4 linked regions of the Caenorhabditis elegans genome follow. The protein of the gene in region 3 interacts with the protein of the main gene of each other region in a pairwise test. Each region holds a gene or a part of one and is shown on either strand. Other genes may lie near its edges.

Region 1 (8,069 bases), on a different chromosome or scaffold from region 3:
GTTATTTTCAGATTTGCATTGATTTTTTCGATTCTTTTGTCGTTTAATCTCTTGAATGATTTTTCCCGAGCATACATAACTTCCAACTCTTGCTTGCATCTCTGAAAATAAAAATACAAATTATGTTTTTTTTTAAAGATCTATATCACCTGCTCATTTCGTACTACCAAAAAAGTTTCAATTCCAGCTAAACCAAAGCAGATTGCCATTGCCTTTCCCATAGTTCCACCGCCAATAATTGCTACGGAATTTACATCATAAGCTTCAGAATTCGTGTGATCACCTCGATCATTTGGCAGAGACCACTGGAAGTATACAATTCAAATAATTTAATTGGAAATGAAATCACCTGTCCCGCCAAGGAATGAGCTTCCATCAAATAGCTTCTGACTTCTTCTGGAACTTTGCCCATTTTTTGATTGTTTTCAATTCTGGAGTATAAAAATTTAATCGGCTGAACAACATTGTTTATACAAGTTTAAAAAATGTTTGAAAAATTTAAACACGATACAGTTAATATTTTTTCAGAGTTTTCAGACCACCCTTTTATAGGTACTTTTCATTTGTAATATATCACGTTTTTACTGCCCACTTTTCCAAATATTTCGTTAGTGATAACAAAGAGGATTTTGTCCCGACATTTCGTCCGTGAAGTTCCCGGACAGAAAATGATCTAGTCGATGTTGTCACTGTCTGTTTGTTGATTCATTGATGATAAGAGCTGATGAGACTTTGGTGCTTTCAGTACACTGTCGTCTTTGTTTAAGAGTAAAACACGAAATTCCGTCTAGATCTAGATAATTCAAAAATCAAGTGCAAACATGTGCCTTGTGAATATTTCTGTGTATAGTTTATTGTTTCTTATCTGTATATGTACATACATATGTGATTTATTTGGAGTTGTTTACTAAATTAAGATGTTAGGCTATAACTTGTTTTGATACTTTGAAAAACATCCAATTTTCATAGCGCAGCATATCGTGAGATTATTACGATATCCGAACAAAAAACTATCGCCAACTTTTTTGAAAAATAATGCAGATGGACGCGTATCTCTGGTAGGGCTCAACAAAGTGTTGTCTGAAATTTTTTAAAGGTGGATTTTGTACAGAAGTTGGCTTGAACTGAAATTTTTAAATATAATTATTGTGCCCTACAGAGTACAGCTAAAAATTTGAAGTTTATTGTCGGTCATATCGAGCACCAGAGGAAACACTTTTTTCTTGAAAAAATGTGTGTTCTACCTATTTACCAAGTATTTTTCGTTTTGATATCAAATTTTTAATCCCAACACAATCAGTAATATTTTTTAATACAAAACGTCATTTCAGCAAGGCAGTCTTTATGTTGATTTTTGTGATTCTGTAAGGCAACATTTACTTCCACTTTCTTATCAATTTTCAAGCTCAAATGTCTAAGAGTAAGGGTTGATTTCATATGACAGTGCTTGTCCGGTTGAAATACGAAAAACGCCCACAAAATCCATGTTACTGATAATAATGATAAGTGTACAATTGAATGTCTCAAGATCCGTTTTTCGCTAAATGTACCGTACTTTTATTTTTATAATTATTATTTGTGCACCTCACGGGGTTTATCCAAAAAAATACAGAAGACATTTTAATTTTCAGAATTAGAGATGGGCAATTGGTCTTGCAGATTGATTTGCATCAAACTTTCGACAAAATTTATAATCCCCAGCATGTCATTTCTTGTACATAGTAGATCAATTGTATACAGGGTATTTATTTATGTTTTTACAATAATCATCTCTTTGAACATGGTAACGAACTACAAAATTTATAATTTCGCTGCAAAATTCTTCCTGTCCACATTTTGCAACGTGGCCGCAACTTTGTATGTTCTATCATTTGGTTCTAAAGAATTCCAGAGAATAATTGTGCTCGCAACTTTTTCAATTCCTTGAAGCCATCCAAATCTCATCGGACCACCAGTAGCAACAGGCCATCCAAACCCGAGAATGCTGAAACAATTGTGCTCATAATTTTAATTTTTTTTTGAAATTAAGTTTTACTTACAACATGATATCGATCAAACTTTCATGATGGATGATTCCTTCCTCAATGCACAAAAGACCTTCGTTGACCATGGGATACAAGAGGAAATTGACGGCATCCTGGTAAGTTTTCGGTTGAATTTGAATGAAATTAGAAAGTGAGTACCTGATCGTTCAAAATTTGTATATTTGGACTTGCAGCTGAAGAAAATTTTCGAATGAGCTGCTCCATTTCTATATCATTCTCCTTTTTGTGAGTATTTGGATCATATTTGTAGTATCCCTTATCTGAAAATTACACCTAAATTGGTAAAAAATATTGGGCTTTTCGTGACAGTTTTGAAAATCTTCATTTTGAAAAAATAAATTGAAAACAATAATTTCCGGTTTTCCTTCTGGAACGTTCAAAATTTTGATTGGCACTTATCATTACCACTGAAAAAATATTTTAAAAATTTCAGACTTCAGCTTGTCAAATATTTCAAACTTTTCTTATAGCCGGAGCGAAGGTATTTGTTTTTTAACCTATGTATAACTATTTGCCGCTGGTGATACTCCAAAGAAATTGAAATTATCCGTTTCTCAGTTCATTTCACAATTTATTTAAAGACGTACTTGTTTTTCTACCGTATCTCTTTTGTCTCCAAACTTCCTTTTCAAAATCACTTGCTGGCCATCCATTCTCCTTTTTCAACTTTTCCATTACATCTAATCCATTCATATCAGCTACTGTTAAAGGACCCATTAGGAATCCAAAGTTTGTAATGATTTTATCAATTTGATGAGGAAGATATCCGTATTCATACATCAACTTTTGACTCTGATTCAGATAAACTCCAAGTAGCCGGTTAAATACAAATGCTGGACAGTTTCCCACAAGAACTGGTAGCTTTTTGATAGATCTACATGCTTCAAAAGCTGTAGCAACTGCTTTGGAGGAAGTTTTCGATCCGTAGATCACTTCAACCATTCGAATCAAATTTGCCGGATTGAAAAAATGAATTCCAACTACTTTTGTTGGATCTCTAAGTACTGATGACATCTGAAAGTGAACATGTTCTTTTGGAATAGTTAACTTAAAGCGTACCTCATTCAAATCTAAACTTGATGTGTTGGTTCCAAAAATACATGATGGTTTGCAAATTTTATCAAGTTTAGTGAAAAGTTCCTTTTTCAGTTTCATATCTTCAAAAACGGCTTCTACAATCTGAAATTTTTCTTTTTTTTTCTTTTGAAAATAAAAACAAAAACTCACCAAATCACAATTATTTAGCTTTTGAAAATCTGTAGTTATCTGTAGATTTTTTCTCAATTTTTCAACTTTTGAATCGTTCAGTCTTCGAAATGCTTTTTCCCTTTTGTAAGTGATTTCCAATTCATTTTTACAGAATTCGGCAGCCTGCAAACAAGTTTAACTGAATTGATATTATTTTTAAACTTTATGGCTACCTTATTGTTAACTTCGACAAGATACGTCTCAAATCCTGATAAACAAAATGCGATTGCAATTCCTCTTCCCATGGTTCCACCTCCAATTACAGCCACTGATTTGATTGGAATTGATTTCGAATTTATGTAGTCACCGCGATCATTTGGAAGAGACCACTGAAATGATCAATTTTCATATTCTGATGTAAAAAAATTGTGATTTTCAGATATTGTTAAAGCTGAATGCTGAAAAACTTTGCAAAGTGTAAAAATGCGCGTTTTTCTCGAGCAAGTTCTTCAAAAATTTTGGCAACTGACTAATCAAGGGATTTTCTTGTTTATTATTATTTTTCACCACAACTTAGAATTTTGCCATTGAATCATATAGTCGTGCTCTTCGATATTTGAAAAATACTTTAAAAAAATATTATTCCGATGTTTGCCGGATGAACTAATATTTTATATTATCAATGAAATCGAAATCTGTAACTTCAGCTATTTTCTGTTCTCTATATACTATAAACGATATCGTTTTAGTGATTTCTACCATTGCTCAATTCAAAATTCTGCCGAAAAGTGGTCTTCCCTCACTGAAAAATACCAAAAACAAACAATTCACAAATCTACAGAGTGCCCACGGATACGGAAAAGCGGAAAATAACTAATTTCTCATTCAAAAAACTTTATTATTTTAGTTTTCAAAGTTACCTGAGCCGCCAATTGATGAGCCTCCATCAAATAGTCCCTCACTGCTTGTGGCACTTTATCCATTTTTCTGAATTTCAAAAATCTAAATTTCAAAATAAAACCAATTGTAACGAATTAAAAGATCTAAAGAAATTGCATTGATATATGCCAGATGTGTCCCACGTTAGCGATCAATTGATAAGAAGAACATTGTAGCCTATAGGTACATTTTGGCCATTAAAACAACAATAAAACACGGTTTTATTTATTTTTGAAAAAAAATCGATGAAAAATCATAAATGTTTCTTCAATTTGTGCATCCGAGTGATTCGATATTTGTTGTAGTCATCTTGGATAGTTTCGATGATTTTCTGGAATAAATTTGTTTTTAAATAACTCCTTATTATGTAATTTCAAAAATAAGAATATAACATTAAGAACAACCAAACCCGGCATTTTGGAAAATTTGGACCATTGCTCAAAAACGAAAAAGTGGGAAAATAAGGAATTGAAATATTTTGGAACTCTATTAATTTATGTTAGAGAGAATTTCTGCAGAAGCCGTTCCTTTTCAAATGTTTTCTGTTCAATGTCTAGAAAGAGTGACCACATTTTGAATACACCTTGGCCAGAAATTGGTCAAACTTTGCTCGGAACGTGTTACAGATTTCAAATATGAGGTGACCTAAGTCTGACCCACCAACTTTCATTTTTTTTAACCTTCCAGAACGCACACATGAAGTCTTTACCAAGGCCTGATCAAAACCAAATCAAAAGGTTTTACCAAAATTTGACAAAGTGTAAATATTACAGATGCGCGGTCTAACGTTAATGAAAAGATATTATTCAGTAGGAAATTTGATTTCAGACTTACCGGATATAAATCAAATGCAGCATGCGTACCGAATACAAAATCCATATGACTGTAGTGTGGAAGTTCCAGTGATCCAGCGATTGTTTTATTCATTTTTGACAGAATCGAGTCTCTACAAATCATTCATTTAGTTACATCAAAACTAATATAATTGATTAACCGAATATCTTGAGTATCAGCCAAAATGTCGTCACGACTCCAATAGAGATAAGTTGGTGTGTTGATCTGTGTCAAATCATATTCCGGAGGAGTAGGTTGCCCGTATTCAATGATATTTCCATCAGTTCCATAATCAAACTTAGAAACAGTCTGTGATTTGACAAGTTGAATCCAGTGTTGCAAATCTTTTACAGAAGTGGCTGCAGGTGTATGACAAAGATATACACCAACTCTTGATTGATTGAACATTTTCTCATTTCCATCAATGAAACCGATGTCCAATGTACAAATATTTTGCATAAAGAATCTGCTGCACATGTAACTTATCATTTTTTGAACAGTTCGCGGAATTGACAGTGGAGAGTATGGAAGTCGACCGAGCAAGATTTCTGCATAAGTTAGAAACTTTGTCCCAAACAATCCAAATAGACCACCGATATGGGATACTGTTGCAACTGGAGCCAATGCATGGAAATGACGAATCTTAAATTATTGTTGCTTTTGAGGAGGTAAAGAAAGACTAAAAGCATATTAACTGATCGTATGTAACTTTCTACAAAGAAAATGTTTGTTAGCATACAGAAACTATAAATATATACTGATCGTGATTTTCAATTTTGTGCAAAGCATGAGCTTGAGAAACAAATGTTGGATTACGGCAACTACATAAGTAGTCACAACAAAATGTACTGTTTGTAACTACAATACCCCATAATACGAGTAGTCATACAAAAACATGTCAAATACATCCTTCATCGCACGGGTGCCGAAAAACTGTCTGACTAATTATAATTAGAAACGAATTAGATTTGTTTTAAAATTCTCTGTGTCTAGCAATAAATTGAAATACCTTCTTTGCAAATTCTGGATTTTCTGCAAGTCTTGAGAACATAATCATAGTTCCTTGTGAGTGTCCCAAATAATATAAAAACTCTTGTTTTGTCTCCTTCAATACCAAATCCACACTCGCTGTCAAATCAAATTCCGACATTTGTTGCCACGTGAAATTCCAAAATTTCTGATTTTCCGGTCCATAGCCAATATGTTTTTGTGATGCAGGAGTTCCACGGCTATTTGCAATCCAAATATCAAAACCTGCATCGGCGAAAACAAAACCAGCCGATTGATTTGCTAGATTCGGAATCCAAGAGAATCCGTCCGCAAGGAGGCCGTGTTGCATGAATACTATTGGACGTTTTGAGCTTCTGTCACATTTTTCTGAAAAATATTAGAGATGATATCAAAGGTAATTCACAGCAAAATTCAATGTATATTAAATTATTCAAAAACTTCTTTTTTTTGTTGACAGTTTGGAAATTTACCAATACTGGAACAAAGAGAAATCTGAAATTATTCATTTTGTTTAATCGGCCATGTTAAAAATCAATGAGAAAACTTGTACAAAATCTCTACTGCCGATACTTCATTTTGAAGTTTCCGTTTACGAAATAAATTTAATTTTCAAATGTCACATTTTTAACTAAAATGACAGACTTACCATTTTGTTTACATGGGATTCTGTGAAGTTCCAGAATATACTCATCCGTTGTTCTCACTAAATGTACTTCTGATTCATACCCAAAGTGTTTTCCTATTTCTGGCTACAAAAAAATTTGTTCTGAGATTAATAAAATAATTTTTCTCAAAATCTTACCACAGTCATGTAACATTCATCGTCAATAGCTAGACTTAAATTTATAGAAAATGAGAGTAAAATCAAAAATAAATCGATTTTTGACATGAATCAAAAAACCTTGGGAGGAGAGGTTATATGGCAGAGCAACAGGATGAGTGTTGGGTCACACCTGTTGTAACAATTACCACCTTGGACATGTCAATAACATATGTTGGGGTCAAGGATTAGGTACTTTTCAATTACAAGTGAAGTATTTTTAATAGATTAAAACACCAAATGAACAAATTTCGCGTTTTCTATTTTAAAATTCATCTTCAATCTAGATATTGTAAATGTACATGTAAAACTATTCACATTTTAGGTTTTTTAAAATGGCATTTAGGTTTTAATATTTATGACGATAGCTACAGTAACCCTTGCTTGGCACACTCCCTCATACTTATATTTCACGTGGTGTCAGGTTGTAACGGTTTGATCTCCAAGAAATGCGGGAATTTTTTCCCCAAAAAAATGTGACGTCAGCACGTTCTTAACCATTCAAAATCAGTTGAGAACTCTACGTCTAAACTCCCGCATTTTTTGTAGATCACAACGAAATGGGACATTCTGACACCACGTGATATTTGAGTACTCAAGTTAACAATGAACAATTATTTTATGCTAAGTTTTATGTGGTACTTGTTTAAATTAATGACTGAAAATAGTGAATCATAAAATTGCACTCTATGCTGTAACTTTTTTGGGATTTAAAATTTTTAGGACAAAATATAATAAGTTCGATTTTTGCATCTCTTTTTATTATAACAATTTAATTAAAAATACTAGCATTTTTCTTTCCAGAAATCCCGATTATTCGTTTCTACACATTATCAGAATTTCTAGACCACTTCTAGACCTACAAACTTCGGTAGATCAAATATGGAAGAATTGATCTTGACCCAATTTGCGACAGCGCGTGGTTTCTGATTTCCTTTCTCTGCATATCTCGCCGGAGGCGAGAACGCTCATTCGGGTTCTTTTACTTACTTAACCCCAATTTTTATTTTCTTTATTTTCCGCATTTCTTTAACAGATTTTCGTAACTTTTTTTCTCAATAAATTCCCTATTAAGAGCATATTTTCTTTCCCCACGCACAATAAGTTAGCTCATATTTTAAATACCGATATCGATACTTTCTCGAGATTCCACCTTGGCGCCAAAAAGTTTCAAACGCGGGGCCTAGAAAACACAATGGCCGCGAAAGTTTTCATCATTTTTTTTGTGAGAA
Region 2 (6,789 bases), on a different chromosome or scaffold from region 3:
TTTCATCGATTTTTCACATTGTTTTGCGAAAAAACACTAACATTTTAACAAATCGACTCTTTGAAGGCGCACACCTTTTTTCATTTATCAAAAATTGCCGTGTCGAGACCGAGTACTGTTGCAAACGCGGCCCAAGTGGTGTCATAGTGTCCCATTTCGGTTTGATCTACGCAGATCTACGAGAATCGCGGGAATTTGGACGCATTTTTAATGGTTAAGAACGTGCTAACGTCACATTTTTTTGGGCAAAAAAAATTTATTCCCACATTTATTGTAGATCAAACCGTAATAGGACAGCCTGACACCACGTGGTGGCCTGGAAGCAAAGTGGCCTAGAAAAAGCTAAAATTCGGCCAGCAGTATTCTATGTCATGGTTTTAGCCGAAAAACTTCCTAGGTTGCGGATTTTCAACAAAAAAAAACGTACTCACTTTGGACAAGTGGCCGAGTTTCCTTGATTTCTAGGCCACGTTGAAAATGTCGAAAAATCGTAAAAATAACATTTTCGTGCTGATCGTGCCGTGATTTGCTACGTTACCGAGTTTTAGAAAAAACTCGGCCACCAATTCAATTTTCTAGGCCACCACACTAACCTGTCTAGAAACATCTCCCAATCCTCGTCCGTTAAAATAATAGAACTTGTACTCGGCCATCGTACAAAAGAGCAAGCACAATCACAGACAGTCAACACACAACTGATAGTCGTCTGCCAGTGTCCCCCTGTCCGCCCTTTTATACTTCCCATGCCACGTGTCTCCGTCTCTTTTCTCTTTTCCCGACGGGGGGAAACAACGTGGTTTATGCGATGGCGGCGGGGAGGTCACTGCCATCTTGATATTGATCTCAGAAGATAATTCGATTTATTTGTAATTGGATATGGCGGCGACGATTCATGGTCTTTTGTAGGAAAAATGATGACAAACATGACTTTTTTGTTCGAAAATATGGGATTTCTAGAATGATCTCTGTCGAAAAGTTCAAAAGTTTCATAGGCTTGCAGGCAGGCATAGGCAGTCTTGTAGGTATGCAGATAAACATAGGTTACCTTGCAGGCATTTAGTCAGGCTTGTATGGAAGGCATGCAGCCAGGCATAGGTTTATTTGACGGCAGGATGTTTCTTTTGATCGCAAACTCCCCAGGTGTGACTTACGCCTTCTTTGTGCCTACACCCATGCCTACTGTCTATGTTAGACCCTTTACGTAGGCCACAGACTGCCCGCTTGCCTTCAAGGCAAACTACACCTGCCTCGTGCCTAGATAACTTGCCTTCTAACAGACATACGTTTGATCTACTGCCTACTGTCAAAACCATCTTTTTTAGGTGGTAGGCAGCCTGAAAGCGTGCCTACCTACCTTAGAATCACTCATTATGATATAATAATCTTTATTAACATACACATAATATATCAAACAACAGAATCTGGTCTCGACGAGTTGTGCTCCTTGATCTCCGGTATCTCATTAACCTTCTCACGGAGCGCTGCAAGCTTCTGCTCCTCTCCGTGCTTATCAAACACTCCCAGCATCTCCATAGTTGTCAAAATATCAGCTATCACCAGATCAGCCCAAGTTACACCATCTCCGACTAGGAATCCTGACTTGCTCTTCTCAAGAATTCCATTAAGAATTTTGAAGAATGTATCCCGGGCCGGCGCGAAGACCTCCTTTTGGATTCGCTCGATTTCCTCCGCATTTCCGGATCTTTGAGCCATGATGAGTTGGCGTAGTGGGGTGACGAAGTCTTTGAATTGATCTACGATTGCATCCACCCACGCTTCTTCCTCTGATGTTTTTCCAGCGTAGCCGAATTTTTTGGCAAGGTAGCGGAGAATTGCAGCGGATTGGGGGATTTCGAAGCCATCGACTGAGAGGAATGGGAGCTGACCAAATGGGGTTTCTGGAAGATTCCTGGGTTGGGATTCAGACTTAGGCTTAGGTTTAGGCTTTCGCTTAGGCTTAGGTATAGTCATAGGCCGAGGCATAGGCTTAGGCTTAGAGTGGACCACCGTATCTGATTTTTAAAAAATTCTCAAAATCCGTGACAGTTATACAAATACCACTAAAAATGTTTCAAAAACTCACTTGGCTTCAACGCTCCCCACTCTGGAGTTCCATTCTCAATACGAACATCCTCAAACTCGACGTGAGCCAGCTTGAAGAGCTGCCGAGCCGGCTCAGCCCATCCACGAAGGTTGAAATAGTAGAGCTTGTATTGTGGCATTGTTTGTTGATGGGAGATGATTGAGTAGTACTTTATATACACAAAGTCGTTTCGAAAATCTCCGAAATTGAGGGGAGGGAGAGTGAGAGAAATAGAGAAATAGAAGAGTGGTTTGTGTTTTTGCGAAGAAACACTGGTCACAAAACAAAAAGTCAGAAAATTGGAAAAATTTTTGAAAAATTCAGAAAATGCATCAAAAGCTGTTTTTTTTTCAAAAATTCAAAAGTACTGAAAAATCATATGAAGTGCTTCATTTTTCTTTTATAAAACTGTTTAGCATGATAAAATATACCAAAAAATATTAAATAAAATTTGCTAACTTGTACGGAAGATTATTTTAAAAAGTTCAGAAAATACATCAAAAGCTGTTTTTTTCAAAAATTCAAAAGTACTGAAAAATCATATGGAGCCCTGTTGCACTTCTCGCACTATTATTTCAAAAAAAAGTATTTCGGTAAAAAAATATCCGCATAAAATACTACAATATGTTTATTATCTTTTATCACAGTTTTTAAAAATTCAACGCGATTCAAAATTTAGACTTCTGTATCCATTCTCGTCGCAATATGATCCTCCAAATCTGGGGTTCCATAGATTTTCTCCTTATACTTTTTCAAATTCTGATGTCCTTCATCATCATCATCGATGGCTCGAAGCTTCTCCAGACTGTGCAAATTATCAGCTATAACTAGATCAGCCCATGTGAGCCCATCACCAACTAAATAACCTGACTTGCTCTTTTTGAGAATTCGATTGAGAAGAATAAAGTAGACATCTCGAGCTGGATTGAAAATCTCGTAGCGGATTTTGAGGATTTCTTCTTCTGGTTTCCCGGCCCTTGTGGCAAAAAGGAGTGTTTTAAAAGCAACGGAGAAGTCTTTGAATTGGTCGACAACGGCGTCCGCCCACGCTTCTTCTTCTGGAGTTTTTCCGGCATAACCAAATTTCTTGGCAAGGTATCGACAAATTGCAGCAGATTGGGGGATGTCGAAGCCATCAACGTTGAGTACTGGGAGCTGACCAAATGGGGTTTCTGGAAGTTGAATTAATTATGGCAGGTCTTCTTTGTAGGCACGCTTGCCTACATGCCTACGTCTGCCATCGTGTGTTCATACTCTCAGTTTGTAATCGAACATTTTATACTTAACACAAATATTTGAAATCTGCGCTAAACAAGAAGTCACAATGGAGAGCACGTAGGCAGGCAGGCAAAAAGTAGGCGCGTACGCCTGAAGATCTTATGAAACCCTAAAGCTGGATGTAGTGACTTTCTATTTATACGAAAAAAAAACAGAAATATCTAATCCTTTCTACAAGCTACAAACTACAAACTACAATATACAAACTACAAACTACAATCTGCAGACTACAAACTACAACCTATATTCTACATAATACGAATTACGGACTACAAGTAACAAACTATTTTTTTGACAAAAATTAATTTTTCAAAATACTTTCGTACCAAAAAACCTTTTACAAACTACAAACTAGCACCTACAAACTACAAACTACAAATTAAAAACTACAAACTACAGACTACAAACTACGAACTACAAACTACAAACTACAAAAAGATTTTTCCCCGAAAGCCAAGAAATTTAATGTTTTTTAGTTCAAACTTTTTCAAATTAAGTGTGGCATCAGTAACTACAAACTACAAACTACAAACTACAAGCAACACATTTCACTTTAAGAACTTACTGTCTCTCATTTTCTCCCATTTCCCTTCAGTATCGGCCATTGGAATCCGAATATCATCGTATGGAGTATGCGAGAGATGGAAAAGCTGTCGAGCCGGCTCAGCCCATCCACGTAGATCAAAATATGTTAGCTTGTATTGTGGCATTTTATTTCTGGAAGATTGAAAAAGGTGGATTCGAAAATCGACAAAATTGAGTGGAAAAAGCGAGGTCTCTAACAGTCTAAGTCTATTTATTTGAGGCTTACGTCTCTAAGCAAAAATATAATATGGGAATTGGAAATCGGTGGTCTTTGAGCATTGTGATAAAAAAGAGCACAAAATTTAAAATTTCAAAATAAAAGAAAAATAAGAGAAATAAAAACGATTTTTTGGAAATTTACATTTTTTTGCAGGACACGTTTCGAAAAAAACCCCACTTTGAAAAGAGAAGAAGAGCTTTTTCAAATTTTTTTTGGGTTTAAGTCACAGAAAATAGGTCGTAATAACCAAATATAACTGTCAAAAAATTTTAAAAATTTTCTAAATTTTTAATAATTTTTTTCCATTTGAAAAAAAAAACGTCCGAATTAAATTTGAATTCCCGCGCGAATGAGTGACGTCATTCTATGCATTTTCGCTTTTTCTGGCTAATTTTGGAGGGGTTTCTTGATATGTCTTCTACATTTGATTTAAATCGCCGTTTGTCAATTTTTCAAACATTCAATTTTCTAAAACAAAAAAAATATAAAGAAATATTAAATTTCCGTTTTTTAGACCAATTTCTTCCATGTTACGGAAAAAAGTTTTCAATTTGAAAAACAATTGCCGAATTTGTGTTTTAAATCAAATATAGAAGAAAATTTTAAAAAAAAACGCATAAATTTAGCCAAAAATGACGTCACTCATTTGCGCGAGAATTCAAATATAATTTGGGCATTTCTTTGATTTTTGAAAAATTGAAAAAAAAAATCATTAAAAATTTTTTTAAAAACATATTGTTTGGGCAATTTATTGTAAAAAATCACAAATTTTAAAACTCCTCTAAAATGGTTCATTTTGAATTTAGTTAGAGAACTCAAAATTGATCTACAAACACTAAAAAATTGCCCTTTTTCAATTTCCAGTGGTTCCAAACGTTTTAAGAAAAATCTTTTTTTTTGCCCAAAAAAAAGGACAGTCATTAGATGGCTTTAAAAAAATTGGGCAAAAAAATTTTTGGCTAAATTTGTTGAAAACGGGTAATTCGTGTATGCTGAATTCAGAAAATCTATGTTTAACCCATCAAAAACTATAACGTGGCAAAAATGGGCAATTTATGGCAAAAAATCACAATTTTGAAACTCCTCTAAAATGGTCAATTTTATAGATAGAGGACTCAAAATTGATCTGCAAACACTAAAAAATTGCCCTTTTTCAATTTCCAGTAGTTTCGAACGGTTTCAGAGAAATTTTTTTTGCCCAAAAAAAGGACAGTCCTTAGATGGCTGAAAAAAATTGGGCAAAAATAAAATGCCGTCTAAATTTGTTGAAAATAGGTAATTAATATATGCAAACTTCAGAAACTCTGCTCCATCTTTAATTCAACTTGGCATAAGTATAAAAATAAAAATGAATTGTAAAAAACCAACAAAAAAAAATCCAGAACAATCATTCTTTAGAAAACCTCCTTCGTTTTTATTTTGTTATTCTCCCCTACCCTTTCTGTTCACCAAACATCACATTTTCTTGTTTACCCCCCCCCCCCCCCCCCACGTGAGAGAGTATTGACAAGGACATTTCGGCGGCAGTCAACATTAATGAAGTTTCTGGTTGTCAAAGGAAACTTCTTTATTTTGTTTTTGAATATGGAAAACATGTTAGTAAGATTAAAAATTAGATCTCCGTTACTGGACGACTTGCGATATAGCTCTTCAGATTGGGGTGGGAATACACTTTTTCGAGATGAGCTGCTAGTTTTGGTTGCTCTCCAGAAGCTTCTAGGAGCCCATATTTTTTCAGTGTTTGAATGTTGTCAGCGATATAAAGATCCGCGAAGGTGATTGAATCTCCGATCAGATATCCTGACTTGCTCTTTTCCAGTAGGCCATTGAGAACTTTGAAGTACACATCCATAGCAGGTTTTATAACTTCAGCCGTTAACTTTTCCAGTTCTTCAGCAGATTTTCCGACTCGTTTTGCAATGACTAGTTTTCTGAATTCCGCAAAGAAATCTTTGAATTGATCGACGACGGCGTCTACCCAAGCTTCTTCCTCTGGAGTTTTTCCAGCGAACCCGAATTTTCTAGCAAGGTAGCGATTTATGGCAGCAGATTGTGGGATTTCGAAGTCATCGACGGTGAGGACAGGCAATTGTCCCATTGGGGTTTCTGGAATTCGATATATAGCAGGGGTGGGCGACATATTCCGGCAAGTCGGCAAACCGGCAAATTGTCGGAATTTAAAATTTCCGGCAAATAGACAAAATGCCGGAATTTCAAATTTCCGACAAATCGGCAAATTTTCGGAATCGAAAATTTCCGGCGAATTTGAAAATTTCGGGCAAATCGGCAAACCGGCACATTGTCGATTCTACATTTTTTCGGCAAATTGTGGTTTTGCACATTTGTTTTCGGAAATTTCATAATTTCGATTTCAATCGGCGAAACTGTTTTTAAAAAACCGGCAAACTGCCGATTTTTGTGGTGTGCGGCAAATTTCAAAACTTGCCAAGCTCGGCAAATTCGGAAAATTTTACGAACTTTCTAAACAGTAAATTCGGCAAATTTGCCGAACTCGGTAAATGTCAAATTCGGCAAGTTTGCCGAGCATGAAAAACGGCAAATATGGTAGACTTGACGAGCTCGGCGAGTCGGGCATATTCAACAAATTTGCCGAGCTTGGGAA
Region 3 (8,638 bases):
ATGAGCGGAAATTCTCACAGCTCGGTCACACTCAATTGGCTCCGCCCATTGTTCCAAAAGAAGCCCGCCCACAAAGAGCAGATGCATCCCGAATAAAAAACTGTGAATTCTTCTCATTATTTGAATTTCACAAAAGGACAGATGTACTTTATGAGCCATGAGTCGAGAGACTCATTTGGTGACTGTAAAGTGATCAGATTTGAAAGTACAATGATCTCATTATGGAGTATTTTTGGATGTTTATTGAGATGATAATGTGCACAATTGAGAACATTTTCGAATGAAGTTTAATAGGGATTTTTTGAATTTTTGAACAACTAAATTTTTTTTTAGAAATTATGTAACTTTCATTTTCACCTTTTTTTGAGTTCACAATGCACCTTTACACTCAATGTTTTGTAGTAATCCATTTATGAAAACTTGATTTAACTGAAATAAGTCTGGAAGTCCAACAGTAAGCTCAATCTCTTTTCATGTTAGACCCATTTTCAACTCTGAAAACTCCAAAAAACAAAAAATTTCAAATCAAATTGTCCAAAAGTAAAAGAAGTCACTGTAGCAGAAGTCGTATTAGTTGTGTGAACAGAAAGATATCAATAAAGTATAATGTTTTCATAAAATCCAAAAACATTTGGAAGAGGAGATTATGTGTGTGACGTGGCAATTCAAATCTAAAAACTACAAACTAAACTTTTTTTTGGGGGTGAAACAGTTGAAATCTATGGCAACTGATACTTTAATTGAAGATTTGAAATTGGATACGGTAGATGTGAACACATTTGCAATAAGTTGCGCAATTCGAATTGACATGGGAACCTTCGTGATTTTTATTTGAAAAAAAAATTTGTTGTTACATTTGAAGCAGGGAGTTTCCATGTTTTCGCAATCGAACCACGGTTTGTTTGGAAGTTTCGCCACGTGGCAAAAATTGAAGATATTGTTACGGATGTTACGTTGGAAACTATTTAAAATGCGATTTTTACGCCAAAAATACTGTACCCGGTCTCGACACGATAATTTTTGTAAATTACAAACGGGCGCGCGCCTTTAAGTGAGTACTGTTTTAACGGATATATCTAAAATTTTGAAACTACAGTACTCTTTGAGGCGCACACCCGTTTGTATTTAACAAAAAATTGTCGTGACGAGACCAGGAACGGTATTTTTGGTGCCAAAATTTTTTATTGCCGGTTTTGAAATAAAAACAATTAATTTTTAAAAAAATTGATATAACAGTACTCGTTATAAAGCAGAATTCAGAATCCTTCTCCAAAAGCCTCAAGGTACCGTAATCCAGAGAAAGGCGTCAAAAATGAAAACATAGACAAACGAAAGAAAGTTGTGAGCATACAAATAGACACACACAATGCTCATCATCGTTTTCTCAGCAACAAAGGATTCTTCATGGGCGTGACTATCTTTTGCTCATGAAGGAGAGAGACGTCTTCAAAACGCAATTAAGGGCATACGGTAAAACGTTTGAGCAGCAGTTGTCGCGCGCAAATCAGATTGCGTGAAGCTCTTGTTTGATGCGGGACACACATGCTAAATTGTCTTCTGAATAGCACCTCAAATTGTGCGGCGCTCATCTGAAGACACACTTGTCACGTCATTTATTATTAAAACTTTTATTTGTCACCATCCTGCCAGAGGAAAATATGAGAAATAGTTTTAGAGTGATGAAAATGAGGAAGATGTTTTAAATTATTGAGATTCCGTTGACAAGGAAGCCTTTTTAAAGGGATAAGGAAGGATAGAGATGGAGAAAAAACGGATAAAATAAAGATAATAGATGATGATTCAAGAGAAACGTGAGAAGTTTCAAATACAAATATAACAGGGGGAATGAATTAGGCGTAGTCAACGCTGATCATGCGGCCTTCGACAGTGGATCCATAGAGGGCAGCACGAGCACGTTCAGCGTCTTGGAAAGTTGCAAAACGAATGCGAGCAGCTCCTGGCGCCATCATATCAACAGAGTCGACTTCTCCGAAGTTTCGAACACGGTCACGGACAATTTGCCAGGTATAATCGCTTGGAAGCTGAATAACAGATCATAAATGAGAACAAATTGAAATTTGAATTGAAAACTTACGTTGCGAATGATAATAACCCTTGTTGCCTGGGGTGTCGCAGCACCGGCGAGTCCACCAGCTCCATTGACACCAAAGACGTCAGGTTGAGCAAATGTGGCTCCACCAGCACCACCAACACCAGCATTTCCTCCAAATGGTCCATTGTTCATGACGGATCGGGCAAAGTTGGCTTGTTCAACGACTCCTCCAAAACCACCAGCCGAAACAACTTGTGGTCCACCTACGAATGGGGCAGCTGGAGCTGTGAACTGAAATATAGATAATTAAATTAACTTTTAAAAATTTTATAATTGAGTATTTGTTATCAAGAGTTTCATCGAACATTTTTTGTGCTTTTTTCAGAGAAAGTTCCGTTTGTTCTGAAAATCGAAAAACATGTTTAGCAAATTGGAATATAAAAACCCATTTTTGTATTAAGTTTTCAGATTGTTGATGGGGAAAAACATAAGAAAACATATCGTTTTCTTATAAAAGGCCATTTTTCGAAAAATCAAAATGTTGGAAACCCGAAAATTTCTGTTTAAAAAAAATTAATTTTTCGATTTAAAAAAATCTAAAACCACCATTGAATGCTAGTATATACCACACCGATGAAATTTGTTTTAAATCGCTTACCGGCACTGAAGCATCTCCTGGGAACATTCCATGAACATTGGAAAGTGGTGCTCCTTCTGCTCCAAGACCCATTCCGATTGACTCAAGACCTCGTGGAAGTCCACCTTCTTTGTGCTCCAGTTCCTTATCGAATCTATCCATTTTCACAACCAGATTTCGATCAAAAAGTCGCTGACCATTGAGCATCGAAACGGCTTGTACGGCTTCAATTGGGTGAGTGTATTGAATTACGCATACTCCCTGGAAGACACCATTTATATTTTATAGGAACTATAAATATTAACAAACCTTTGACTTTCCTTCTTTATCAATGCGGAAGTCCATCCAGGTGATTTTACCGGCCATACCGAAGACTTCGTAAAGCTTATCGGTTCCGACATTGAAAGCCAACTGAAAATGTTTGATTAATAATATTGTCTTGGAAACAGAAGTGGAATTTCGGAAATTCTATAAAATGACATATTTCGCCATGTTAAATATAGAAAATCACTTTTTTAAATCTGAAAATAACACTTATTTCAGATAAAACACTTGGAAAAGCGCTTCAAAAATACCAGGATGTTGCAAATTGCCGATCATCAAATTGTTGAATTATCGTTTCTCGGCAAATGGCAACTTTTGGTCATTTTCGCGCACTTTTCCAAATGTTTAAAACGAGATAATTTTTTTTTAATTTTCAGATAAATCAAGTGATTATCTACATTTTCAGACTAATTTTTGATGAAAACTTTTGAAAAAAACATGTCGCAATAGGTCATTTTGTAGCATTTCCGAAAATAATTGCCAACCACCTCTGATTGGGAACTAAGAATGGTATTTAGTAACTGAATTAGTGATGCTATATTTTATTCGTATGATACTGAGAGATCTACCCGGAGGATGCAACTGTCTGAACAAACTATAATAAGCACTGATTCCATTTTGTTGTATATAATTCCACGTAGAAAGCTTCCTACTACTATTCCGTTTAAAAACACCAAAATGAAAAATTGCATTTATTTCTCCCATTCGAATAATTTCATATCTCAAAACTGAGATAAAGACCCAGCAAGTGAACGTGGTCTAGATGTGGAGCCCTTCGAGAAGAAGAATATTTGAAACCTACATTGGCGATGAAGATGCGCTCACAGAGTGGCGGTTCAATGTTGTGTTGGCGAAGGAATTCCATATTGAGACCGAATAAATCATAAGTTCCAGTTCGAGTAGGGCGATCAAGATCTTTTGGTGGAGGACCTCGTCCTCCTGCACCACCACCTCCGGTACGAGACAAGTAATCAATGCCTGTTTCAGTTTTGATGGTTCGGAAGAAAGCATTCGGATCCTACAGAAAAAATAAAAAATGGATGAAAATTTCTGAATGTGAGTGTCAAAATTAAATAGATACGGACCCGAATTTCTTTGGCGATGATGGTTCTTCCCTTCCAGTCGAACTTTTGTAGATTCTCAACGCATTTTTCGGCACCCTCACGAGTTTCGAACTCAACCACAGCGTTACCCTTTGGCTTGCCGTTACGGTCTTCGAGCAACTCGCAGAAAGCGACTTCACCTCCTTTCTCGCGAACTAGACTTTTCAAATCGACCCAACGAGCCTCATAGGCGATATTGGTGATAAAAACCATTCGGTTGTTCGATGATGAGTTCCCATTGTTACTTCCAACAGCAGCGCCGATACGACCTTAAGGAAATGGAAAATAGAGAAGGATTTCTATGGAAAAAATGGTGGAAACGGGAATGAAGAATATCAAAAACTATACTTCTTCTTGGACTTCTGGATCGGCTCCGACGCTCTCGCTTAACATCACGCTGTGGTCCGTCTCGACGATTTCTGTTCATGTTGGCTGATGGAACACGGATCTTGGATTAAGCTTTCTGAATGAGTTGAACTAGAATCAATTAGACGATAAGCAAATGTTTTCATATAACAACGGGCTTCTTTAAAAAACAATTGAAATTTTATTTCCATTTTGATTGCTAACAAGTCGAAAATTAATTGTAACTAAAATAATCTGCTCGCTGAGTGGCCCATTTTTATTGTTGAAAGAGATAAAAGATTATTTACTGAACTGTCTCGCCAATGTAATACTTGATTTGACATCGAATTGAAAAACTATGTTACAACAATGATCGAAAACTTATGCACAGATGAGTAAAAAGTTTTGTGATCGCACCTTATTTGCTTCTTTACTTACAAATAGGCCACTCGAGCAAAATTTGACTTGATATCTTACAGAAAGACTAGAATGCTCTAAACTCTCTTAAAATTCCCGAACCGAAAATTAAGTTTTCAAAAAGAGGAACAATTTCGAAATTTATCTATCGGAGCAATTCTCTGAAACATCTTGGAGATTTTCCGACTGATAATGCATATTTAAGCCGCGAGAACCATTTAGCAAATTTTAAAACAAAAAAACGTTTGATTTAACGAAGAAAATAAAGAAAAATAAATACGATAAAAGAGAGAAAAATCGAAATTCGAAAAGAAGAGACGGCGGCAAACACAAGTGTGCATTTGTGCGTCGAGACGAGCCGCACAGCCGACATCAGATTTGACGCCACAAATCGCCGCGAAAAGTGAAGGCTTTTTCTTTGCTGCTAAGCCAGTATTCTGGATCTTTTACGATTTTTTTTTCATTTTCGATAGCATGGTTCTGTGAAACAAGATCTCTGTTCTCTTTGAAACACTCTATTCTATAATTTATTTTATTCTTCAATTGTTTCTTCCATGTTTCCCTAAAAATAATTTTGTTCGTTAATTGTCAATAGGATTTTTATGAACTGAATTCAGTGTCAAATTTCGGAGAAAGAATAGAAAACGTTTTTTGTGAGATAAGCTGCCTCTCGTTTTGTTTTGCCTCCGCATGACAGATTTATTCTCAATTTCACACTAAAAATTATTAATAATTGTACAATTTAGTTTTGCTTCAAGTTCTATAACAACGCGTTTTTGTTTTTTTTTCACAATTCATGCGCTAGCTGTCCAAAAATATTCAAAATGTTTATAGAATAGGTGATTCAACACCAACATTTCAAACTATCGTTCACAAGTCACATTCCAAATGACTAACGTCCATATAAAGTTTCTGATATTGCTCCAATCGTCCCAAATGTCTTATCATATACACTTCATGACGTGTTTTCCCTATTCTTTCTCTTTTCCCGCCGATGACCATGTCTCTCCCTTCTATTCCTCTAGGTTTCACCATACGAATATCAAATCGTATATACATTTAAAAGCCGACGCCTTCTACCATGTCGAACAGTAATCGCATGGAACTAGTTAGTCTTTTCCCAATCGCCGTCATTTCCCTCACTTTTATTCCTTACACTAGATTTTATTATTGATAGAACTGAAATCTTGGTCTTATGTTAACGACAAAAATCGTGCCTCGTTTCATTTTAAATGCAAAACTACCTGCCGTTTATTGCCGCCGTCAAGAGAACAATTCGCACTAGGTTGAGAAGGGCAAAGGTCTTTTATGACCTTTTACGCCCGGGAAGTGAGAAATACCAGAAATCACCTTTTATTTCGATCTATAACTCGAACTTTTAATTTTTCATCTTTAACCAGTGTAGGTTTATTTATTGAATAGATTTGTGTTCCACTCATCTCTTCGGTCAACAGATTTGTTTTCCCCCTGTTTCAAATTTAGCGTGAAGTTTCTACAACAAGACATCGAAATTCCAATTTTATTTCAGTCATATGATTATATATGTTTATGAAAATAGACCTAGTGCCCTGATTGAGAAGACTATATGTTTGTTTTGCTATTGTTTCTATTGTATTTTGCTCGGAAACGTTCTAGATGTCTACAAAGTACAACTATAGTGACTGTAGTTTCGGTTTGCAAAAAAAGAAGATCAAAGCAAACAAGATTTGTCGAAGTGGTCGTTTTGTCCACTGGTCCTAGTTAATTTAAACAAGGCTAGGCGGTAATTTCCGAAAAGTTTGAAATTTCGAAAAAAAAATGTTGCAAACAGTTTTGTTTCAAAATTTTTGAAGTATTTTTTCGTATTTTTTTTAAAGAAAAAAGAAGTGACACTTGCATAAATGCTGAACTATTGGATAGTTTGCAAAATAAAATCATGTTTGCATGATCTTCATCTCTAGACTGTACTCTCCGAATTTATCCATCTTCCCAAAAAGTCCACTCTCTGCCTCTCTGTCTCCCTCTCTGCACACAGTGATTCGCACGTTTTTACGAAACTAACACGGCGCCGGCTTATCATCATATAATGGCTAGGCAGGTTTTATATGTTCAGACGCAATATATGAGTGACACTCTGACTCATTTTATGCCTTTCTTGAAGCAAACATTTTCAATTTCGCGTTTCTTTTTTTTTCCTTTTCTTCGACGCCGCGTCGTATTCTTCTCAACTAAATTAGTTTCCCGTCGAATGAGTTTCCTTCTTACTCTTTGAAAATAAGAAGACAATGCGGTGGTTTCTATGGTTTAACTGCATGGCTCCAAGAGTCCAAGTCCATTCTTTTGTGTATGTTTGTCAATGGTTACAAAGTTCTCGTCTCGTTTCCCGCGCGCTCAGTGTTTTCCTTCCGTCGCCCAGAGAAGCTTAAAAGCCTCTCTTGAGCTGGAGGAGCACACGCCGCCGCCGGCTCCGCACTCCTCGCAATTTTGGAAATTGCATGAGCCTCTTCTTTCCTTCCTTCCTTTCCCGCCACGCCCCTTTCCTCCCCCGTTTTCCATTTCATCGAACTGACTGACGGGAGAGGAAGGATGGACGATAGACGGGGTGGCAAAATATTCAACCCCATTGTTTGCCCCCGTTTCTGACGAAGAGCCCGTGCACATACATAGGCTCGCACTCTCATTCCGCACATTTTATCTCGTTGAATTCAATTCAATTAGGTCACTTGCTCTAGTTTGCTCTTTCAATCTCTACTCTTTTAACCCGGGTGCTATGATACTTTAAATCAAACTTCCATCACCTTCCATATAGATTAACTCTTCAGATTCCACACTAACATCCTTAAAAATTACAAAAATATTTAAATGCTCCAGAATGACATCCTGGACAATTTTTGAATATTTCATCCTCAGCGTCTGCCATCTCCGCTTAAATAGGAAAAGGCTCACACAATTTGCAAATATATATTTATAAAGGCTCGGTTTATTTGAGATGGCACATTTTTCATTAAGTATTCGTACCAACGGGCACAATTGTGCCCGATTTGTGTCTAGAAAAACTAGGAAAATCGTGGGAAAATGACAGTTTGTTTGCCAGAAAACTCTTCAGTCTTCTATATAATCGTAGTTGTGGTAGTTCCAAAACTTGTGTTTTCATATATTTTAACTCGTATTTTAACTGCTGCAAGATTTCTAAATTAAATTATATTAAACCGAGAAATTTCGAAGCTCAGAAACTATGATTACTTGAGGCAGATATGTCTCAATTGTTCCAATGTTTTTAACTAGACTCAGGCCAACACAAAGACCAAGTGCAACATATCAAAATTACACATTTGATGTCCAATGCACATGTTTCAAATTTGCTCAGAAACCCTTCACCTTCATCTCCTGCTCCACCACCCACCTCTCTTGTGTCGGCTCTCTCCTATGCTATTATATGTATGTGCTCTGAATCCCTTGCAGAATTCATGTAATACTATGTTTTCCCGTTTCGTCTACTTGCTTCCCTTTTCTTTCGGTGTTGATTTACCTAATTAAATGAGAACCTACGTGCATTTCCTGCTCCGACTCAGAGAGAGAGAGAAATTATTCAATATAGCAATGTAGCAGAGATTTTTATTCTATTTTCAGTTGTTTTCAAGTATTTCCAGCTATCAATCATCACTTTTCTGAAGCAGGTGAATACTGAAAAACAATCCATTCTGCAATCTCGTTATACCTTTTTTGATTCGAACAGCTCCTTCACTCGTGATATTATGAGGACGCAGAAACATGATACGC
Region 4 (8,160 bases), on a different chromosome or scaffold from region 3:
GCAAATTTTTGCAAAATATGTAGTTTGTAGTGTGGCAGACCAAATTGGTCTGCTAGGCTACAAACTACAAAATGTATTTAGCAGACCATCATTTTTTCCGACTGAATTTTGCGTTTTTAGGTGAAAATGAGCAGATTTTCAGGGAAAAACCCCGTTTTCCACAGAAAAATTGTGGTTTTATGCATAGTTTTGTGGCTAACTCCAATAATTTCCGTGTGAAAATCGATTTTTTGAGTAATTTTTCGAGAATTTTCACTTTCAAATTGTGAGGAAATGCAAATTTTGAGATTTTTCAGGAAAACTGCTCAAAATTACAGCAAAATTGACGTTTTTATTTAACTAGTTTTATGTGTAGTTTGTAGTCTGGCAGACCCATGCGCTCGATTTGGGTCTGCTAGACTACAAACTACACGCTGTAGAGCTAATTTTCGTACTTTTGAAGGGATTTTGAGGGGAATTTGCAGTTTCTCTAAAGAAAAAACTCCTTTTTTGCGAAAATTGGGGAATCTGAGTTTTAATTGAATTTTTAGAGTGCACACTCGCTTTTCCCGGCAAAAATTCTGACTTTTCAGGAAATTTTCCCGAAAATTCACGAATTTCAACAAGAAACACCGAGAAAATCACATTTAAAACCTAAAAATCCGGAAAAATCGATTGAAAATGTAGTTTGTAGTCTGGCAGACCCATGCGCTCGATTTGGGTCTGCTAGACTACAAACTACACGCTCTAGAGTTAAATTTCGCAGTTTTCAACGGATTTTTCAGCAAAACTTGCAGTTTTTAAAGGAAAACCGTAGAGAAAAACCGATTTTACGATTATATTTGATAATTTAGAAGGAAAGCTCGATTTTTGAACGAAAAATTCGTATTTTTTGCAAATTTTCGCACAAAACTCCGAGAAAATCGTGTAAAAAACTAAACATGTGTAAACTTTCGGATTTTCAGATGGTATTTTGGCGAAAATTGTGATTTTATGCAAAATTCTCTGTGAAAATTGATTTTGTGAGTCAATTTTCGTGCATTTTTCCTTAAAAATTCCGAGAAAATGCAAATGTTTGCATTATTCCCGCGAAAAAATCATCAGGAAAACTGCTCAAAATTACAGCAAAACTGGCGATTTTTACCAAGTTTTATGGTCTGCCAGACTACATACTACACAAAATGTATTTAGCAGACCCAGAATCCATTTTTCTTGCATTTTTTATTGATCAGCGTTAAAATTTGCAATTTTCGTGATTTTCAACCCACTTTTCAGCAAAAAATTCAGCTTTTGAAGAAAAATCGTAGAGAAAAACCGATTTTACGATTATATTTGATAATTTAGAAGGAAAGCTCGATTTTGAAACGAAAAATCGAATTTTTTGCAAATTTTCACACGCAATTTCGAGAAAATCGCGTAAAAAACCAAAAATTTGTACGAAACCAAAAAAAAAAACGGAACGCGTCCTCCTTCGAAAAAAGAGCGCGTAAATACGAAGAAATGAGTCAGTTGACGGACACAATGATGAGATGAAGAGACGGCAGACAACGAGAGGTTCCATGTTTTCTCTCGTCTCTCTCAGCTCTCAATGCTCTCTAATCGTCGTCACTTTTTGTCCCTCGCCAACATCGAAAATCGATGGGATTTGTTGGTGGGACACTTGGCAGCATGCCAAGTGTTATTCGGAGAGCAGATGGCCAAAAAGAACGGCGAGAGCGGGGCAATTTGGCAAAAAAAAATCGATTTTTTCCTAAATGTGGGAGAAAATTAGCGAATTTTAATGCTGATTAATAAAAAATGCATGAAAAAATCCAAAAATTCGCGAAAAAAAAATGGATTTTGGGTCTGCTAAATACAATTTTTGTAGTTTGTAGTCTGGCAGACCATAAAACTTGGTAAAAATCGTCAATTTTGCTGTTATTTTGAGCAGATTTCTGATTTTTTCGCGGGAAAAAAATTCAAATCTTGCATTTTCGCGGAATTTTTCAGGAAAAATTAACGATTATTGCCTTAAAAAATCAATTTTCACACAGAATTACGCATAAAATCACAATTTTTCGCCAAAAAACCGTTTAAAAAAAATGCATATTTTTCTATGGGAAACCGAGTTTTTTCCGTCTAAATCTGCTTATATTCACCTAAAACGCAAAATTTCGTCGAAAAAAATATGGGTCTGCTAAATACATTTTGTAGTTTGTAGTCTAGCAGACCTACTCTCAGAAATTTGGTCTGCTAGACTACAAACTACAAAAAACGCTAGCATACCAATCGAAAAATTGAGAGATTTTCGTCAGATTTTGAGAGGAAAATGATTTAAAAACGAGGTTTAAAGCAATTTTTCAAATTTTTTTCAAAAAATTCCAGAAAAACCGGCTTTTCTGGAATTGGGGAGGAAAATTAGTGAATTTTAATGCTAATTGGTCAAAAATACAAGAAAAAATAAAAAAAATTCGCGAAAATTTTTTTTTTGGGTCTGCTAAATACATTTTGTGTAGTTTGTAGTCTGGCAGACCATAAAACTAGGTAAAAATCGTCAATTTCGCTGTGATTTTGGGCAGTTTTCCTGATTTTTTCGCTGGAAAAATTCAAATTTTGAATTTTCTCGCAATTTGAATATGAAAATTCACGAAAATTGACTCAAAAATCGATTTTTACAGAGAAATATGAGTAAAATCACAATTTTCGCCAAAAAACCGTCTAAGAAAACGAAAAATTCATATTTTTCTATGGGAAACCGAGTTTTTTCCGTCTAAATCTGCGTATTTTCACATGAAAACGCAACATTTAGTCGAAAAAACTATGGGTCTGCCAAATACGTTTTGTAGTTTGTAGTCTAGCAGACCCACTCGGGTCTGCTAGACTACAAACTACAAAAAACGCTAGCAGACCAATCGAAAATTTGAGAGATTTCGTTAGATTTTGACAGAAAAATTGATTTAAAAACGAGATTTAAAGTAATTTTTTAATTTTTTCAGCAAAAAATTCCAGAAAAACCGGTTTTTCTGGAATTGGGGAGGAAAATTAGTGAATTTTAATGCTAATTGATCAAAAATGCAAGAAAAAAATCAAAAAAATTCGCGAAAAATGTTTTTTTTTGGGTCTGCTAAATACATTTTGTGTAGTTTGTAGTCTGGCAGACCATAAAACTTGGTAAAAATCGCCAATTTTGAGCATTTTTTCCTGATTTTTTTGCGGGAAATATCTCAAAATGTGCATTTTCTCGACATTTTAATGTGAAAATTCACGAAAATTGACTTAAAAAATCAATTTTCACAGAGAATTATGCATAAAATCACAATTTTCGCCGAAAAAACTCTGAAAATACGAAAAATTCATATTTTTTGTCGGTTTTCTGTGAAAAACTGAGTTTTTTCCTTTAAATCTGCTTAATTTCACCTGAAAACGCAAAATTTAGTCGAAAAAGTGATGGGTCTGCTAAATACATTTTGTAATTTGTAGTCTGGCAGACCCAATCTCAGAAATTTAATCTGCTAGACTACAAACTACAAAAAACGCTAGCAGACCAATCGAAAATTTGAGAGATTTCGTTAGATTTTGACAGAAAAATTGATTTAAAAACGAGATTTAAAGCAATTTTTCAATTTTTTCAGCAAAAAATTCCAGAAAAACGGGTTTTTTAAGGCAAAATTCAGTTTTTTAGAACTTTTGTAACAATAAAAACTGCAATTTTACCGGAAAACCAGTAGAATTTAAATTTTAACTCATAAATTATACAGTCAAATTTTAAGTCAATTTTCTTGCAATTTTCGTCAAAACGGCGTAGTTTTACCCAAAAACTTGCTGAAAAGTCGAAAAATCTGGATTTTGGCGTAAATTCCACCATTTTCAGCCGAATTTTTCCGATTTTTATCGAATTCAAACATTATTTTGCCGGAAAATAAGACAAATCAAACAATTCTGTGAGAAATATCAATTTAGGATGGAAAAATTGCGGAATTAATGGAAAAATTGAATCCTAAGAGGTATTTTTTTTTTCGAATTTTACCTTTTTCAAGTTGAAAAAGCACGAACCTTCCATTGCGCTTGTTAATTCCTTCAGTTTTTCGTCGAAAATCAGCAAAAAAGCGCCGAAAATTGGGTGAAAAGTTCGAAAATTGGAAAAAAATTTATTTTTTTTTATTGCGCCGTACTACGGTAGACAGAACACGCCGTGCGGTGTTTGCGGAGTTGTGTACCGTAGTCCGGTTTTTAAATTGAAGTTAATTTAAAATGTTTTCAAAATTATTGATTTTTAATGAAATTTCCTGAATTTTAGAGTCAAAAATTGGTTAGAAATCGTGAAACTTGAGAGAAAATCGTCGAAACTCTCAATATTCCGGGTTGAAATTCAATTTTTCATCTATATTGAAACAAAAAATCATTTTCTCAAAAAAAGAAAATCGTGAATACTTGAGGTTTTGTATAATTTGCACCGGTTATCCATGCATTTCCATGCAAATTAGTTAAAAAATCTAATAAATTTCAATTTTTCACTTATAGTTTTTCTCACAATTTCCAGCAAATTTTCGGGAAAATCTCCACTTTTCAACAAGGTTTGCAATTTAATACAAAAATGTCTCAAAATTGTAATTTAACAAGAAAAAAAACAGATTTCAACAAAACAGTTTATTTTAATGAGAACCACACGAGTGAACAACAGTTTAATTTATTTCTTCTTTTCGATTTTGATAGAAATATGATCGTATAAGAGGCTGAAGTGAGAGCCATTGTCATAGTCAACGCGAAAAGGTCTTCTAGCAATGAAATTTGGATTGAAAACTCGCACAACTCCAACGCTGAAGATATTTCTAGAAGTGATGATTCCAGACTCAAAAACAGTCGATTTCAAGAGAATCTGGAAAAAATGACAATTTTTTTGAAGGAACATTAAAAAACTAACATCTCTGATTTTAACAGCATCAGCGACAGAAAGATACGCCGTATCAATGAAGAAGTGGGTAAGATGGAAGAGATTTTCAATTGGGAAATGCTTCTCTCCATATGAATCAATAAAAATCGACTTGGCTCTTTTCCATTGCTCCATTTCAAATAATTGATCGACGTAATCTGGATTCCCGCTGCAGTAAATGCAAATTTCTTCTAGAAATCCTGGTTGAAGAAGCGGAAAAATTGTTGCGGCAAAAGTTGGAAGATTAATGGAAAAGTCGATTCTTTTTACCTTGTAGAGGTTTTTTGAATCGGACATTTCTTTGAACCAATTCATAAATGTTTCCTTCTTTTGAATACGATCATATCCTTGGAATTCAAGGACTTCCAATTGAAGTTTCGAGTTCTTCATCACCACTGACAAGTCTGTCTCAGCCATTTTCAAGCCGTTCACTCCTTTAAAGCGCTCATTCCGATCATTGTAGTTTACTGTGCAATGCGAATGACTGAAATCATAGTGAATTACAGTAGATTTTGCGTCAAGCAGCCACATCTGGAATTGAGAGTGATGGATGTTAAGTACAACGCGCTTGATTCCAGGATCCTTATTATCGACGATTGCACGAAAGTTGCGGCAGACTTTACGGACAGAAAGCCTGAAATTTTCAATTTAATTAATCCTCCAAAAACTAGTTCTGATTATACCGTTCGATTGGTTCAACCTTTTCCACAATTTTATGAATGACGTCCAATGGCAAATTCGACATCGATGGAGCCTTGGAGCACGGCCTCTCTCAATTTCATTTATTTCAAAATTCCTCTTTTTCTCTCACACTCTCTCACGTGAGATTGAAAATTGAATAATATATGTGTTTTTAAATTAAATTCAAAATATTGACGAAGAAACAACTTTGGTATAAATACTGATTTGTTAGGACCGATACCAAATGGTAATTTTCGGACATATTTGATCTCGTAGACAACGGCTCACTATTTCAGTGATCTTTAAAGTAATAAAAAATTCTTCAAAGTTTGGTACAGAGAAACTGAAGTAGTTACATTTGTAGAAACTTACATAACTTATAAACCTACCGTATTCCTATCGTACCCAATTACCGTATTTCCTCTATTAGTCTTGAATGCAAGACTAATTTTCAATTGACCCGTAGGGGTGCAAGACTAATAGAGTCCGCATGACTGATTTTCGATTGGTCCGTAGGGGTGCAATACTAATAGGGGTGCAAGACTAATAGAAGCTGCAAGACTAATAGAGGAAATACGGTATATTTTTTGTCGTACACTGATGGAAAACTGATGAGACTTTCCCGGCAGGGTTCACAAGCTGAGTTATTCATTGGTGGCCTCGGTTTCAGTCGGTTGCCGACTGTAAAGACGGGATCCCGTACGGGAAAAACAAAAAGTGACATATGAAAAAGGTATCAGACGGTACTAATCCAGACTTTGTTATTTTTTGCTTCTTTGAGATGATTGTGCAAACGGATAATTTCGAATACCTTCGTGGTATCTCTATCAAAGTTTTTCAAAGCATTGAATCTTTACATAGCTTAAACTATGTATTTTGTGAGAATAGCCAAGTATTATGAACATAGAAAATGTTTCTTGTGTTATCAAGATTATTTTTGTAGTTCAAAGTTTCTTGATAGCTTTTCTGGTTACCGAGTTATATGTTTTCAAAAGCGTTCACATCAACTATTATGCTTGCGGTTGTCCAAAAATTACAATCGCATTGTCTTAAAACTGAAGTTACTCAATCAGTTTTTGATCAAATCAGGTGATTGACATCTTAATCTCTTCCTTAGAGAATTTTGCAACTTTTGGTGAGGTTGAATTTTTGATTATGTCTTGGTGCGTCTCGTAAAATTAGGAAAACCCGCCAAAAATTGTCGTTTTTTAACGATTTTTGGAGTTTTCAGGCCTAATTCTTGTTTTGAAGATGCCGACGTCAATTTTCATCAAAAAACCTTCATCAAAAACAGAAAATAATCAGAAAAAAATTATCTACAAAATGGTGGCCTTCAATTTTCAAATTTCTCTTTTCAAGGATCACTAGAGGTCCCGAAAAAATCCATTTTTTGAGGTAGCCTTTTGTTTTTCCGTCTGCCGGCGTCGTGAACATCACTAACCTAGATATTTGCATAAAAATAGATACACTTAGTCTTAATTGACAATATATTAATAAAAAACTTAAAGATTTATCAGCGAATCGCCGGCTTTAATCAGTTTTGTCTGGAAAATCACTAATTTTGAACTTTCACATGTGGGCGTATTCATAGGTGATTTACAATTTTGCCCTTTTTCATATAATTTCTATGTGTTTGATCAGGCAGTTAGTAAATTTTTATTAGATTTTGTTCACTATCAGCCGTTTCCGGCCTATTTTACCGTTTTCAGTACAAATTCGGCTCAAAAAGCTCACTCTCTCGCCCATGAGAGACACAGAGAAAGTTCATCACGTCAATTTGATTTATTTTTTGAAATGAAGAGAGGCCGTGTTGGAGCTGAAAAAAAAGTTTTAGGTTTGAATTCGAGAAAGTGTATTTTTTCTTAGTTAAATTCACTGAAAATCCGTCAAATTCTCATAATTTCAGTCCACTCAATTTATCAGTAGATGTGGCAATTTAAACCGTAAAATTCTTACATTTTCAACGAATTCATTTTTTCTTCCAAATTATCGGTCATTTTTCTGGCGAAAATGTTCTTACCAAGGGAAATTGCCAGAAAATTGAAAAGAATAAGAGAAAAATCATACGAAAAGAAACATTTTGTTATAACACTCTATTTTTCAGCAGAAATTAGCAAAAAAATCGCACTTTAAACGTTAATCTCTACTTTTAAGTGAAAAACAACCAAGAAAATCTAAAAATGAGCCAGAAGCTCGTCAATTAGAATGCCGAGTACGCAAACACTTGATATTGCGTACTTCGCCGACTACAGTACTCCAACAGAATTTATTTCGAAATATTTGATTTCCTTTACGGAAAACTTGAGAAAATAATCATAAAATTGGTTAAAATTCAATATTTCACTGATAATCGACAGAATAAGAAATTAATTCAAAGTATACACATAGTTACAATTAAAAATATATCACAAATTGCATAAATTCAAGTGGAAATTCAGAAATCAATATAAGCAGTAATCTTGATGGCTCCATTGTCAGCAGGTTGGTCAATTCGCATTCCGAATGTATGATTCCGTGAAGAAACTGTCACATCAAAGTTTTCTCCGACTTTTACTTGTCCATATTGAGCTTCCAGCAGGAATTTGCATGGG

What was found.
Region 1: the proteins of sup-46 (region 3) and ech-8 interact in a two-hybrid assay, tested with the Caenorhabditis elegans proteins (one large-scale study listed by BioGRID).
Region 2: the proteins of sup-46 (region 3) and gst-15 interact in a two-hybrid assay, tested with the Caenorhabditis elegans proteins (one large-scale study listed by BioGRID).
Region 4: the proteins of sup-46 (region 3) and nova-1 interact in a two-hybrid assay, tested with the Caenorhabditis elegans proteins (one large-scale study listed by BioGRID).

What each region holds. Positions count from the first base shown.
Region 1 is NC_003282.8:10,234,899-10,242,967, forward strand, and holds ech-8 (Enoyl-CoA Hydratase), read right to left. Parts: upstream 4,279-8,069; 5' UTR 4,217-4,278; coding exon 4,154-4,216; intron 3,623-4,153; coding exon 3,467-3,622; intron 3,417-3,466; coding exon 3,273-3,416; intron 3,225-3,272; coding exon 3,105-3,224; intron 3,060-3,104; coding exon 2,633-3,059; intron 2,306-2,632; coding exon 2,184-2,305; intron 2,138-2,183; coding exon 2,040-2,137; intron 1,985-2,039; coding exon 1,801-1,984; 3' UTR 1,728-1,800; downstream 1-1,727. Other genes in the region: ech-9 (Enoyl-CoA Hydratase), read right to left, coding at 1-101, 150-305, 350-412; lipl-7 (Lipase), read right to left, coding at 4,426-4,503, 5,007-5,118, 5,167-5,648, 6,016-6,383, 6,664-6,766, 6,820-6,906.
Region 2 is NC_003280.10:13,609,073-13,615,861, forward strand, and holds gst-15 (glutathione transferase), read right to left. Parts: upstream 4,125-6,789; 5' UTR 4,072-4,124; coding exon 3,927-4,071; intron 3,256-3,926; coding exon 2,759-3,255; 3' UTR 2,698-2,758; downstream 1-2,697. Other genes in the region: gst-20 (glutathione transferase), read right to left, coding at 594-653; gst-24 (glutathione transferase), read right to left, coding at 1,408-1,898, 2,084-2,222; gst-14 (glutathione transferase), read right to left, coding at 5,779-6,272.
Region 3 is NC_003279.8:10,168,024-10,176,661, forward strand, and holds sup-46 (RRM domain-containing protein), read right to left. Parts: upstream 4,581-8,638; 5' UTR 4,545-4,580; coding exon 4,466-4,544; intron 4,387-4,465; coding exon 4,100-4,386; intron 4,033-4,099; coding exon 3,817-4,032; intron 3,102-3,816; coding exon 3,000-3,101; intron 2,952-2,999; coding exon 2,712-2,951; intron 2,345-2,711; coding exon 2,096-2,344; intron 2,043-2,095; coding exon 1,851-2,042; 3' UTR 1,616-1,850; downstream 1-1,615.
Region 4 is NC_003283.11:18,077,813-18,085,972, forward strand, and holds the start of nova-1 (K Homology domain-containing protein), read right to left. Parts: upstream 4,095-8,160; 5' UTR 4,019-4,094; coding exon 4,012-4,018; intron 2,229-4,011; exon of another isoform or gene 2,144-2,228; intron 445-2,143; exon of another isoform or gene 357-444; intron 1-356. Other genes in the region: fbxa-106 (F-box domain-containing protein), read right to left, coding at 4,646-4,834, 4,880-5,522, 5,572-5,659, 7,270-7,315; Y59A8B.12 (MATH domain-containing protein), read right to left, coding at 8,004-8,160.